Arabidopsis thaliana: one gene and its partners. The protein of the gene in region 3 interacts with the protein of the main gene of each other region in a pairwise test. Each region holds a gene or a part of one and is shown on either strand. Other genes may lie near its edges. The genes, in order: WSIP2, TPR2 and bZIP23.

Region 1 (3,755 bases), on a different chromosome or scaffold from region 3:
TGTAGTCATTGTTAAGGGTCGGCTGATGAGTCAGGACAACTCATTGAAACCATTTATTCGATGTTTCAAATATTAAACAAATAGACAGAAGATTCTACTATCTTCTTCAAAAATATAATATTAAACACAAGTCTTTGTTTCTTTGCTAGCTCTAGTTACAGAAATTTTGAATTAAAGCTATGAAAATAACTTTACGTTTAGTAAATTGCTAAAATATTCAGAGCGATCAGAAAGGAATGTTTGCTCTCTCATCTTAAAATTATATATTTGAGGTGATGCTTCTTCACCAACATGGGCAGATGGGCTTATGGAACCATTTGCTGATTAATTGCAGTCATTGATAACTGTCTGGGTGTGTCATTGTCATCAAAGTGATTGTTCAAGGAAAACATGTTTGGGACGAAATTGATTCCCAATCATGTTTAGCAATTGGGCCAGTCAATTCCCCCGATAATCTAGACCTAAAAGCCCAAACCAATGTAAGCAATACTGGTGTAGGAATACTTGTAAGAAGATTTGATATGACTCCTACTAGAACCATAATGTGGATGGACTGTTGAAGTAGCATAGTAATTACTAGCCAAAACATCCATGGGAAAAAAAATAAAGTACAAATATAAATTTTGATTTTTTTTTTTTTTATAAATAGAACAAAACTAAACATGTGAATAGGCCATATCTCTTAAATTCCTAACAAATTAGCATAATATATTCACGGAAATGCGTTACAAACCGTATTATAGAATAAAACTCCACTTTTTACTGTGAATTACTATAACAAAAAAGAAAGAATACACATTTGTAAAATTCACTTATTTGTTACCACATAAGATTTATATTTTTCCAAAAGTAAATTATCCATAAAACCTTTAATTTGTTTTTTTGACAATAAAAGATGAAGAAAATAAAATTTAATTAATTTGCGTACTACATAACTGGAAATAAAAATATCACATCTGATTTACTGCTATTCTTCTCTAAATTAAAAACTTCAAAATCCATTACTTAAATAATTAATTCATAAAAAAAATATTTGCAATATTAATTGACGGTTAGTTGATGTCATAAAAATAATATAATGGCACTAAATTCTATACAGAAACAGAAATAAACCAATTATGAGATACTCTACTTTAATGTATAGTTTGAAAAACAAAAAAAAATCCCCAGCTACGTTCAAAACCTAACGAGAGAGCATTAAATTAGACAGCAGTGTTGTACTAGATTCGCAACAACATCAATACGTCACTTAAATTAAAATAAAATACGAAAACATTAAATTAAAATAAATTTTAGAAAAAGTAATTAAAACGAAGGTTACTTATTATAGTGGGGAGATTAAGCTTTTTGAGTAAATTCCTATCTACAAAATACACGCTTCTATTAAAAAAAATAGAAGCCCAACGACCACACAAAAACAAATTAATTAAATCATAAAAACTCATAAATTAAAATAAAAAGCAATAAATCCAAAAAAAAAAAAAGGAAACTCCGAAAACGAGACAGCATCAGAAATTATCGCCATAAATAGCCCCCACGTCTCTCTCTCTCTCTTCTCCAAAGTCTTCTTCTTCTTCTTCTTCTTCTTCCTCTTCTTCCTCTCTGCTTTGTCTCTCTCCTTCTTCAAAGTCAAAATTCAACAGGTATTTATATTTATAAACTTTCCTTTTTTTCTTTAATCTCTTTCTCGGGAGCCTCTCTCGTATATTCTCGCACGTGCACATCTCGTGCCACCTGGGTTTGGGGGGATTCGTCTTTCGAATTCGATCGATTTCGTTTTTTTTTTTAGATCTGTCTTTCCTTTTTTGGGGTGTGAAGAAGATGTTTTCTTTTATAAAACCCTAATTCTCTCTTTGTGTCTTTGTGTTTGATTAGTGGTTCATGAGTGGTATTGTGATCGATCTGTTACTTTCGGAGAGCGAGCAATAAGAAGAGGATATGTCGTCACTCAGCAGAGAACTCGTGTTTTTAATACTTCAGTTTCTCGATGAAGAGAAATTCAAAGATACTGTTCACAGGTAATTTATATTATATCATTGTTTAATTGCGGTCCCTCTTCCTTTGATTGTCGGGATTAGAGTAAAGTAGGGATTAAGATTAATTAATTTTGATTTTGTAATTTAGCATTATTTCTTCAATGTTAATCCAGAAGCAGTTACAACTTTGGATATTTTTTTTGACTAATTAGGTTGGAGAAAGAGTCTGGTTTTTTCTTCAACATGAGGTACTTTGAAGATAGTGTAACAGCTGGTGAATGGGATGATGTAGAGAAGTATCTTTCTGGATTCACTAAAGTTGATGATAATAGATACTCTATGAAAATATTTTTCGAGATTCGGAAGCAGAAGTACCTTGAAGCACTTGACAAGTAAAGTTTCACTTGTGTTGTTTAGTTTTATTGAATTGAAGTGTGGTTTTGAGTATTGATTTGTTTTCCCATCTTTTGTTTTACCATAGGAAAGATCATGCCAAGGCGGTTGATATTCTTGTTAAGGAGTTGAAAGTGTTCTCGACATTCAACGAAGAGCTTTTTAAGGAGATTACCATGCTTTTAACCTTGACTAACTTCAGGTACATTCTTTACTTTCTTAGCACTTTTTTTTTATGGTTTCATTGACCACTGGATTGTTATAAACCATGCGCTTGTGGTGTTGATGTTTCATTTACTTGCAATAATTCAAGGGAAAATGAGCAGCTTTCCAAGTATGGAGATACTAAGTCCGCAAGAGGTATCATGCTTGGGGAACTTAAAAAACTGATTGAAGCAAATCCTCTCTTCCGAGACAAACTTCAATTTCCCAGTTTGAAGAATTCTAGATTGAGAACCTTAATAAATCAAAGGTACAAGCTTTGTTTTTTTAACTTTTGCTCCCGTTTTTCTTTTGGTGGAACAACTAACTGAACGTTGCTTCTGCTGAATCATAGTTTGAACTGGCAACATCAGCTTTGCAAGAATCCTAGGCCTAACCCGGATATAAAAACACTATTTGTTGACCATACGTGTGGGCATCCCAATGGTGCACACACTCCTTCCCCTACAACTAATCATTTAATGGGTTCAGTCCCTAAAGTTGGAGGCTTCCCACCATTAGGTGCTCACGGTGTAAGTTGCTCTAAGATTACAGCTTCTGTTGGATTAGTTTTTAGCACATGAATTTAACTTTGCTAGTTTGTATGCTCTTGTTCAGCCATTTCAGCCAACACCAGCTCCTCTTACAACATCTCTTGCAGGATGGATGCCTAATCCATCGGTACAACACCCTACTGTTTCCGCTGGGCCTATCGGCTTAGGTGCCCCCAACAGTGCTGGTAATGTTGTCCCTACTAATTTTATTCTTCTGAAATATGTGTGTTGGAGATTTAGTTTACCAAATATTAGCTTATACGGTTATGTAATTTGCCATCCCTTGTTTAGATCATCATTAGTTGGATGGTTATCTGTGCTTCTTTGACTGACTGAACTGCATGAAATGATATAAATATATTTACTGAGTTACATTTTCCAGAGCTGTAGTGGTAAACTGTCTCTCTTTTCTTTTACGGACTAAAGCAGTTTTTAGTGGTAAACTGTCTCTATGGTGGATTAGAGAGAGAGAGAGAACTATATGCTCATATCAGCCGTTTTGTTTAATTTCACAATACTCTTGTTTATAGATAATAGATAGAGAAGCAAACATTTAATTTAATGTCAGATAGCCTTGAAGTGCTGTCTTAGGTCTGAAACTTTTATTTATTTCATTTTTTGTAGTCCATAA
Region 2 (3,755 bases), on a different chromosome or scaffold from region 3:
AGACCCCACAATATTCCTAATCATTCTTTATTTTTTGAGGAATGGTAGAAGAAAATTTTTCCTTCCCAAATTTGATGAGGAACAAACAGGAAAAAAAATTAAATATTTATTAAATAAAAATTAAATTTATGTTCGTTTTATATTTAATATTTAATTTGAAAAATAATTTATTTATTTTTTAATTTTTGTTACTATTTATTCTATGTTTTGGTTATCATTTACAGTAACATTTGTTCTATTTTTCCTTTATATCCATTCCTTTTCATTCCTATTTTATCATTTTTTCTTTTCCTGTTTGTTCTTTTTTAGTCATGTTCTTCTTCATTCCTTGTATTCATTTATAGGTCACCAATCGGACCCGATATGTTGATTTAAAGAGAGTGGACATATCAATTCTGGTAGCTGGTAAAAAGCATCTATTTCCTTTGCTTTCAAGCTCATGTGTTACACAAACATGTTATAAAGTCATTTTTTTGTTTTTCATATGCAAAGAGAACAACAATTGTATCATGGACAATACAGAACTTCTTTATTTTCATCTAAATAGCAATGCTAAAGAGAGCTTCTAAGGAAAAAAGTGTCTAAGATGTATTCGGCTGTTTCAAAAAAATATTGGAAGAGCCAACGAGAGATTACATACTAAGTGAATAATAATGGTCTGACATACAAATTAATGATCAAACCATTATTATGTCAAGAGCGAGGCAACCATATTCGATTAATTAGTTCGCACTGCTCTAAGAGATGCTAACGGGACCCTAGAGAGCACTTCCTCTTCCAAATCTCGGGGAAGATCGGACATCGCCATTGTTGAATCTCTCATCTCCAAGTTAGGTCAAAGCTTCTACAACTCTTTTCGTACCTTCCGGCTATATATGTAACAGCAATTGAAGACACAACTCACTGGGCTAAACCTGGGCTTCAGTTATCAAGTCGGCCTCTTAATGTGGGACCAATACATTTTTTGTATTTGATCGTATAGCAAAAACAAATGATTAGCACCATGTGGAAACATTAGAGAGTTTGTGTAATTAAATTTCAAGTTTCTTTTCTGTCTTGTTATATACATAAAAATGGTTACAGTAACCTTGTTTTTTCTAGTTATCCTCATATGCTCCAAAAACATAGGAGAAAACATAATCATGAACTTTTTGACCAATAGTATTGTTAGGACTTGAATTCTCTTAGATTTGTTAATTGATGATGAATTCTCTTAGATGTTTATAACACTATGAAAATCATTACTTAAAAAAAAAAAAACTAAGATGATCCATCAGTCACACTTTAAATGTTTTTTAAAATATGTTCATATGTTTTGTTTATGGCATTGCGTACATAATTTAATTAGACTAATTATAATATCGATCAAACAAAGAATTATTGGCTGGATTTGGTCGCAGCCATTAGCAGTCGCTCTCAACTAATATTATTACGAGAATCTCTAGCTGAGCAAGTATCTCGTATTTCTCACGCTCTGACGAAAACTTCTACGAGATAGACGCAGATATCGAGACCACGTCATTCCCCCTAACAAGGCAACAACATGTGGCGGACGCCAGTAAAACTCTGCTCAATTCACTTCAATTCCATTTTTCGAATCCGCGTGACGTAACCCACCTAAGGGTTTATAATCCACTACTTTGCACCCCCACCTAAAAATGCATCACAAGCGCGACAAGTGTCAATACAATTCAGATACGGAGAATACTCTGAGATCCCACATCTGCTTTCGGTGGGCTCACCCGCATCAGATAAAAACCCTAAGCTAAGGGATCAGACCAAACAGTTTAACCAAACGAGGTTATCAACTTATACGACAACGAAAGCACTTATCAATGATAAGTTAGTTAACTTATCAAACTACAGTCTGTGTGACAAAACGCATCGAAGAAAGTGGAGAACAAGTCGTACTTTTTTCTTTATCTTTTTCCTTTTTTATTAAATGAAAAAATATAAATAGAAATTTTGTAGCATCTCTGGGGTCAGCTTTTTCTTAATGTTCGCTTTGCGACGCGAGGAAATGCAACCTTGAAACCCTAGAAAACTCATTCTCAACTACGACTAAATCGATTTCGCAAACTTTGACCTACCCTTCTTTCACGATAAACCCAGATCGCTTAAATTCCTTGAATTTCTTCTTCTGAGAGTTTTAGGAAAAAATGTCGTCTTTGAGCAGAGAGTTAGTTTTCTTAATTCTCCAGTTCTTAGATGAGGAGAAGTTCAAGGAATCTGTTCACAAGTAAGTTTGTGCTTTGTCGTTTTTGTGTGCTTGTTTGGTTTCTCTGCGTAATTTTGGGTATAATTTGGAATTGGTTGATGTGTAGGCTAGAGCAAGAATCTGGCTTCTTCTTTAACATTAAGTACTTTGAAGAGAAAGCTCTTGCTGGAGAGTGGGATGAAGTGGAGAAGTATCTTTCTGGTTTCACTAAAGTCGATGATAATCGTTACTCTATGAAAATCTTCTTTGAGATTAGGAAGCAAAAGTATCTCGAAGCTCTAGATCGGTAATGATTTCTCTTCTTGTTTGGTCGGATATTTAGACTAGTGTTGTTGATTTGATACATTTGTGTGTTTTTATTACAGAAATGACAGAGCAAAAGCTGTTGAGATATTAGCCAAAGACTTGAAAGTTTTCGCTACATTTAACGAGGAGCTTTACAAGGAGATTACTCAGCTGCTTACTCTGGAGAATTTTAGGTTTCTTTTTTTTTTTACTTTGCCATTGATATTATTGAAGTTTTGGTAGGTGGTTACGATAATGTTGAAGAGTGTGTTTTTTTCTTAGGGAAAATGAGCAACTGTCGAAATATGGTGATACTAAATCTGCAAGGTCTATAATGTATACTGAGTTGAAGAAATTGATTGAGGCGAATCCTCTGTTTCGAGAGAAGCTAGCCTTCCCCAGTTTCAAAGCTTCTCGCCTGCGAACTTTGATCAATCAAAGGTGAACTAGGAGGAGTCATAATTCTTTCCTTTTTTTATAGAGATTAGTTAAAGTGTATGACAAGTGTGTTTGGGACATTGCAGCTTAAACTGGCAGCATCAGCTATGTAAAAATCCAAGGCCTAATCCTGACATCAAGACATTGTTCTTGGATCACTCTTGCTCACCATCAAACGGTGCTCGTGCACTCACTCCTGTCAATCTTCCAGTTGCTGCTGTTGCAAGACCTTCAAACTTTGTTCCTCTTGGAGTGCATGGTGGAGTAGGATCACTTACTTAACTTCCACCCATTCTATTATATAACTTAATGTTCATATTTTGAGGGTTGATGAAACAACTGTATCTGTGCAGCCCTTTCAATCTAATCCTGCTCCGGCTCCTAATGCCAATGCTTTAGCTGGATGGATGGCAAACCCAAATCCTTCTTCATCAGTTCCATCTGGTGTTGTCGCTGCTTCCCCATTTCCTATGCAGCCAAGTCAAGGTATAATTTATGTCACAACTTACAAGTGTCTGGATATTATGGTATCTTTCGTTTTTTTTTCTTACTTGTGATATTAGAGTTTTTAGGAAATGAATTTTAAGACCTGAAGTTCTATTGCTGTATTTCGTCTCAACAGTTAATGAGCTGAAACACCCTCGGGCACCGTCTAACTCTCTAGGATTAATGGATTATCAAAGTGCTGATCACGAGCAACTCATGAAACGCTTACGGTCTGCACAAACATCCAACGAGGTAATTGCCTTCAGGTTTTCCTTGTTTTTGAAACGCTTAGTGCTTACCTAGCAAACAAAACTCTTGTTGCTTTTGG
Region 3 (3,755 bases):
CTATAGTTTTTTGTATATGAAATCAAATCTTCAAATTAATGATTGTGTCCGGCACGTTATTCTTAAAATCAATAGTTGCACTTAACAATCAAATTATATCGCTAGTTCATACTTCCGCATGTTTTTTGTTTAGTTAAATATGGAATACACACTTGTTTTTCTTATAACAAATATCGTGGAACTTTTGGAGCGGATTTGGGATGACGTCTTAGATTATATAGAAAATAGAAGTAGATTTTGACTGAATATCATCAATGAAAGGAACAAAGAAAAATATTTAGGTTGATTTGATAGCTAATTAAACTAGATGTAGACTGATTTATATAACAATATTACAAAACAATGATCAACAATAAATAAATGTCTTTCTAAAAAAGTTTATGAATACCAACTAAACTGGTGGAACAAACCATTATTGTGATGTTGTAAATTTGTAATTGACTTTTTCGATAAATTAATCGAAATTGACTAGACCGGTGAAAGCTAAACCGGTTCCATCTAATTAAAATGAGAAAAAAAAGTAGTGGTAGTAACTTCGTCTCGAACCATGCGCGGGATTAAAGAGAGCGAATTATACGACCACTATGGCAAGACGCATTTAATTGAATAAATAATACTAGATTTGCGCAAAATAGTTGTTATACATTTTGAACAAAATATATAATATAAAAACCAAATAATATTTAGATCCGTGATGTACAGGTTGAATCTATAGAATTTTTTTAGAGGAAGTAAAAAAGAATCAAAATCTAAAGTTAAAATTAATACCTTAAATTTTTTGAAACCTTAGAGAGAGTCTTCTTCCCGTAAAAATATATATTTTACTTTATACTGAAAAAGTATAATATTTTCTATGATTTTTTGGCAAAAAAACAAAGAAATTGTATCACGGAATCTGCAAAACAAACATATTGTTTAAAAAATATTTCTAAAATAGTTATTTAATTGATCGTAATTAATATGTCCCCTCATGTCTTATCCGTTGATTTATTTTTAGTGACAATCCACAAAAATCGGCCATAATCTCTACTTGATAGTTTTTTCTTTCTATTTTGATATTGAAAGGTTAGTCCTATGTTTGACTAATATTGAGGAATCTTCTTTGTTGATGTATTTTGTGCAAATTTTGAGGAACCAAAGAGAATTTCAATTCCAATTTTGGGTGGATTCGAGCTATTTTATTGATTTATTTTTGGTTATATCTCGAAGGATGTTCTGACAATCAATAGATAATTTGAAGGCCAACACTGTTTTTGCATAAATATAGGATTCTTCATCTCAAAAATTAAAAAGATACATAAATAATCGGAACTCACCATATAATTGATCTGTTTTGGTTCTCGTCCTAGTTCTTCTTGTACTTCTCTTTCCAATTTCTTCTCTCCTTTCTTCTTTCCCATTTCTTCTCTTCTTTCTTCTTTCCCATGACTATGATTAGATTTTTTTTGGCCCTTTTTACCAGCAAGATGTTATCTTGTCCATGGAATTTTTAAAACTAGTTCAATTTTGATTAATTATTTTAAATTGACCCCATTATAAAGTAGAAATTAATCCTTGTAAAATTTAGTTTAAGAGCAAACAATTAGATATTATATAACTTTTTAGGCCAATTTAAATCAAAACAAATAAATATAAAATAAAAACATGTCTATTGAAATGATTTCAACCTCATAATTTTGTCCTCTTGTTAGTCTATCATTTTTTTATCATCCTTTTTTTTTTCATTCACCATTTTTCATTGAAAATTAAGTTAAAAATAAAGTTATAGGTTAAAAAATTAATATACATTTTAATTTTAAATACAATGTTTTGATGATTTTATCTAACTGATTATATAAAAAAAATATTCAGCGTCTTCAAAAAAAAAAAGAAAAAAAAATTATTCAGTTAGAATATTGATTCAAAGAAATTTTTCAATGGGTATAAAAAATAGCAACGCAAATTACTTTGGTTGAAAAAAACTAAATTTAAAAATATAATTCGAGTTATAAATTGAGCTATAAACTCAAATAAAAGTTTTAATACGAAATTAAACAATAGAATCTTCTGCAATTCGAAATTCCTTTTGGTACGTCCATGTCTTCTTTCCGCCATGGAAATAATGCCATCTGTTAATCATCAATGTTCATTGCACCTCTTCATCTCTAGGGTTCCCATTTCTAATTCTCTCTTAAACCCTTCTCGCCGTTTTCGCCCATAAGTTTCTCAATTCCCAAATTCGCAATCGTAATGGCGATTCTCCTCAAGCTTTCGTCTTGCTGATCCTTTAAAGGTACGATTTTTCTATTCAATTTAGTATCAGCCAATGATTAGTTATTGATAATTGGTTCTGAATCGCTTGGATTGTGTTTTCACTCTGCAATTAGGTTGTTGTTTGGTTTTTGATCACAAAGTCTCATACTTTTTGGTTAAGATTCAATCAAAAGAGTCAAAGGTTACTTCTTTGTTACTGGGTTTTGAGTAATGGACGACGGTGAGCTTGAGTTTTCGAATTCAAACATGGGTGGTGAATTACCTAGCTGTTCGATGGATTCGTTCTTCGATGAGCTTTTGAGAGATTCTCATGCTTGTACTCATACTCACACTTGTAATCCTCCGGGACCAGAGAACACACATACTCACACATGTCTCCATGTGCACACCAAGATTCTTCCTGACAAAGTTTCTACTGATGATACATCGGAATCTTCAGGGAAGAAGAGACCTTTAGGGAATAGAGAAGCGGTTAGAAAGTATAGGGAGAAGAAGAAGGCTAAAGCGGCTTCGTTGGAGGATGAGGTTATGAGGCTTAAGGCGGTTAATAATCAGCTGTTGAAGAGGTTGCAAGGTCAAGCTGCATTGGAAGCTGAGGTTACTAGGCTCAAGTGTTTGCTTGTTGATATAAGAGGAAGAATTGATGGAGAGATTGGTGCGTTTCCTTATCAGAAACCTGCGGTTACAAACGTGCCTTACTCATACATGATGCATCCTTGCAATATGCAATGTGATGTTGATAACTTGTACTGCCTTCAAAATGGGAATAATGGAGAAGGTGCATCGATGAATGAGCAAGGGCTAAATGGTTGTGAGTTTGATCAGCTAGAATGCTTGGCTAATCAGAATTTAGCTGGCAAGGAGATCCCTGTTTGTAGTAATGGAATTGGAACATTCACTGTCAATGGATCCGGCGTTAATAAGAGAAAAGGTGACATTCTAGTTCCTTTGGATCTCTTTCCTAGAGGCTGTCCTTAATAGCTATATCTTTATACAGTTTTCATCGTAGTTACTTCCATATTGTCACTGTACTTATCCTGGAATTGTGTCATTTCTGAGGTTCCCTTGAACGTTTTTTGTTTAAACTTGTGGTTTGTGTATATTTTGTTTATGAACTCAAGGTTTTTGATCTTGCAACAGGTGAGCCTCGAGCAGCGAAAGCAGTTTGAAGTATCATCAATCATGTGATACTATCAATCATTCACCCCATTTTCAAGTTGGTAGTTAATTTTCTTCCAATAAGTAGTAGAGTTCAACTGCATCACCAGCTTCCTTCAAGTCCATTTGTGCTATCATCAGGTTTTTAGTCTCTTTGCATTTCCTTGTTGAGCTCGTTGAAGCTAGAAATAAGACTTGTTAATATTCAAATCGAGTTTGCTATTTGGTTTTGTACTTTAGTAGCTTCTTTTTTTGTTGTGAAGTTCTTGTAGAAGAGATTGAATGTTGCATTTGGAAAAGTAAGTTATGGGAAGCCATCTCGACAATTAGTAACTTGGTTGTTT

Evidence for each region.
Region 1: the proteins of bZIP23 (region 3) and WSIP2 interact in a two-hybrid assay, tested with the Arabidopsis thaliana proteins (one study listed by BioGRID).
Region 2: the proteins of bZIP23 (region 3) and TPR2 interact in a two-hybrid assay, tested with the Arabidopsis thaliana proteins (one study listed by BioGRID).

Annotation. Positions count from the first base shown.
Region 1 is NC_003074.8:5,370,053-5,373,807, reverse strand, and holds the start of WSIP2 (WUS-interacting protein 2), read left to right. Parts: upstream 1-1,518; 5' UTR 1,519-1,643; exon of another isoform or gene 1,644-1,875; 5' UTR 1,876-1,938; coding exon 1,939-2,018; intron 2,019-2,188; coding exon 2,189-2,368; intron 2,369-2,457; coding exon 2,458-2,571; intron 2,572-2,682; coding exon 2,683-2,841; intron 2,842-2,925; coding exon 2,926-3,103; intron 3,104-3,188; coding exon 3,189-3,309; intron 3,310-3,755. UniProt on the Arabidopsis thaliana protein: Transcription corepressor of Zinc finger transcription factors GAF1/IDD2 and ENY/IDD1 in regulation of gibberellin homeostasis and signaling.
Region 2 is NC_003074.8:5,729,550-5,733,304, forward strand, and holds the start of TPR2 (TOPLESS-related 2), read left to right. Parts: upstream 1-1,969; 5' UTR 1,970-2,159; coding exon 2,160-2,239; intron 2,240-2,324; coding exon 2,325-2,504; intron 2,505-2,583; coding exon 2,584-2,697; intron 2,698-2,785; coding exon 2,786-2,944; intron 2,945-3,027; coding exon 3,028-3,205; intron 3,206-3,294; coding exon 3,295-3,427; intron 3,428-3,563; coding exon 3,564-3,679; intron 3,680-3,755. UniProt on the Arabidopsis thaliana protein: Transcriptional corepressor. Negative regulator of jasmonate responses.
Region 3 is NC_003071.7:7,277,396-7,281,150, forward strand, and holds the start of bZIP23 (Basic-leucine zipper (bZIP) transcription factor family protein), read left to right. Parts: upstream 1-2,035; 5' UTR 2,036-2,272; intron 2,273-2,366; 5' UTR 2,367-2,463; coding exon 2,464-3,184; intron 3,185-3,393; coding exon 3,394-3,422; 3' UTR 3,423-3,552; exon of another isoform or gene 3,553-3,755. UniProt on the Arabidopsis thaliana protein: Transcription factor involved in the response to zinc ion deficiency. Binds to the consensus sequence 5'-[AG]TGTCGACA[CT]-3' also called zinc deficiency response element (ZDRE).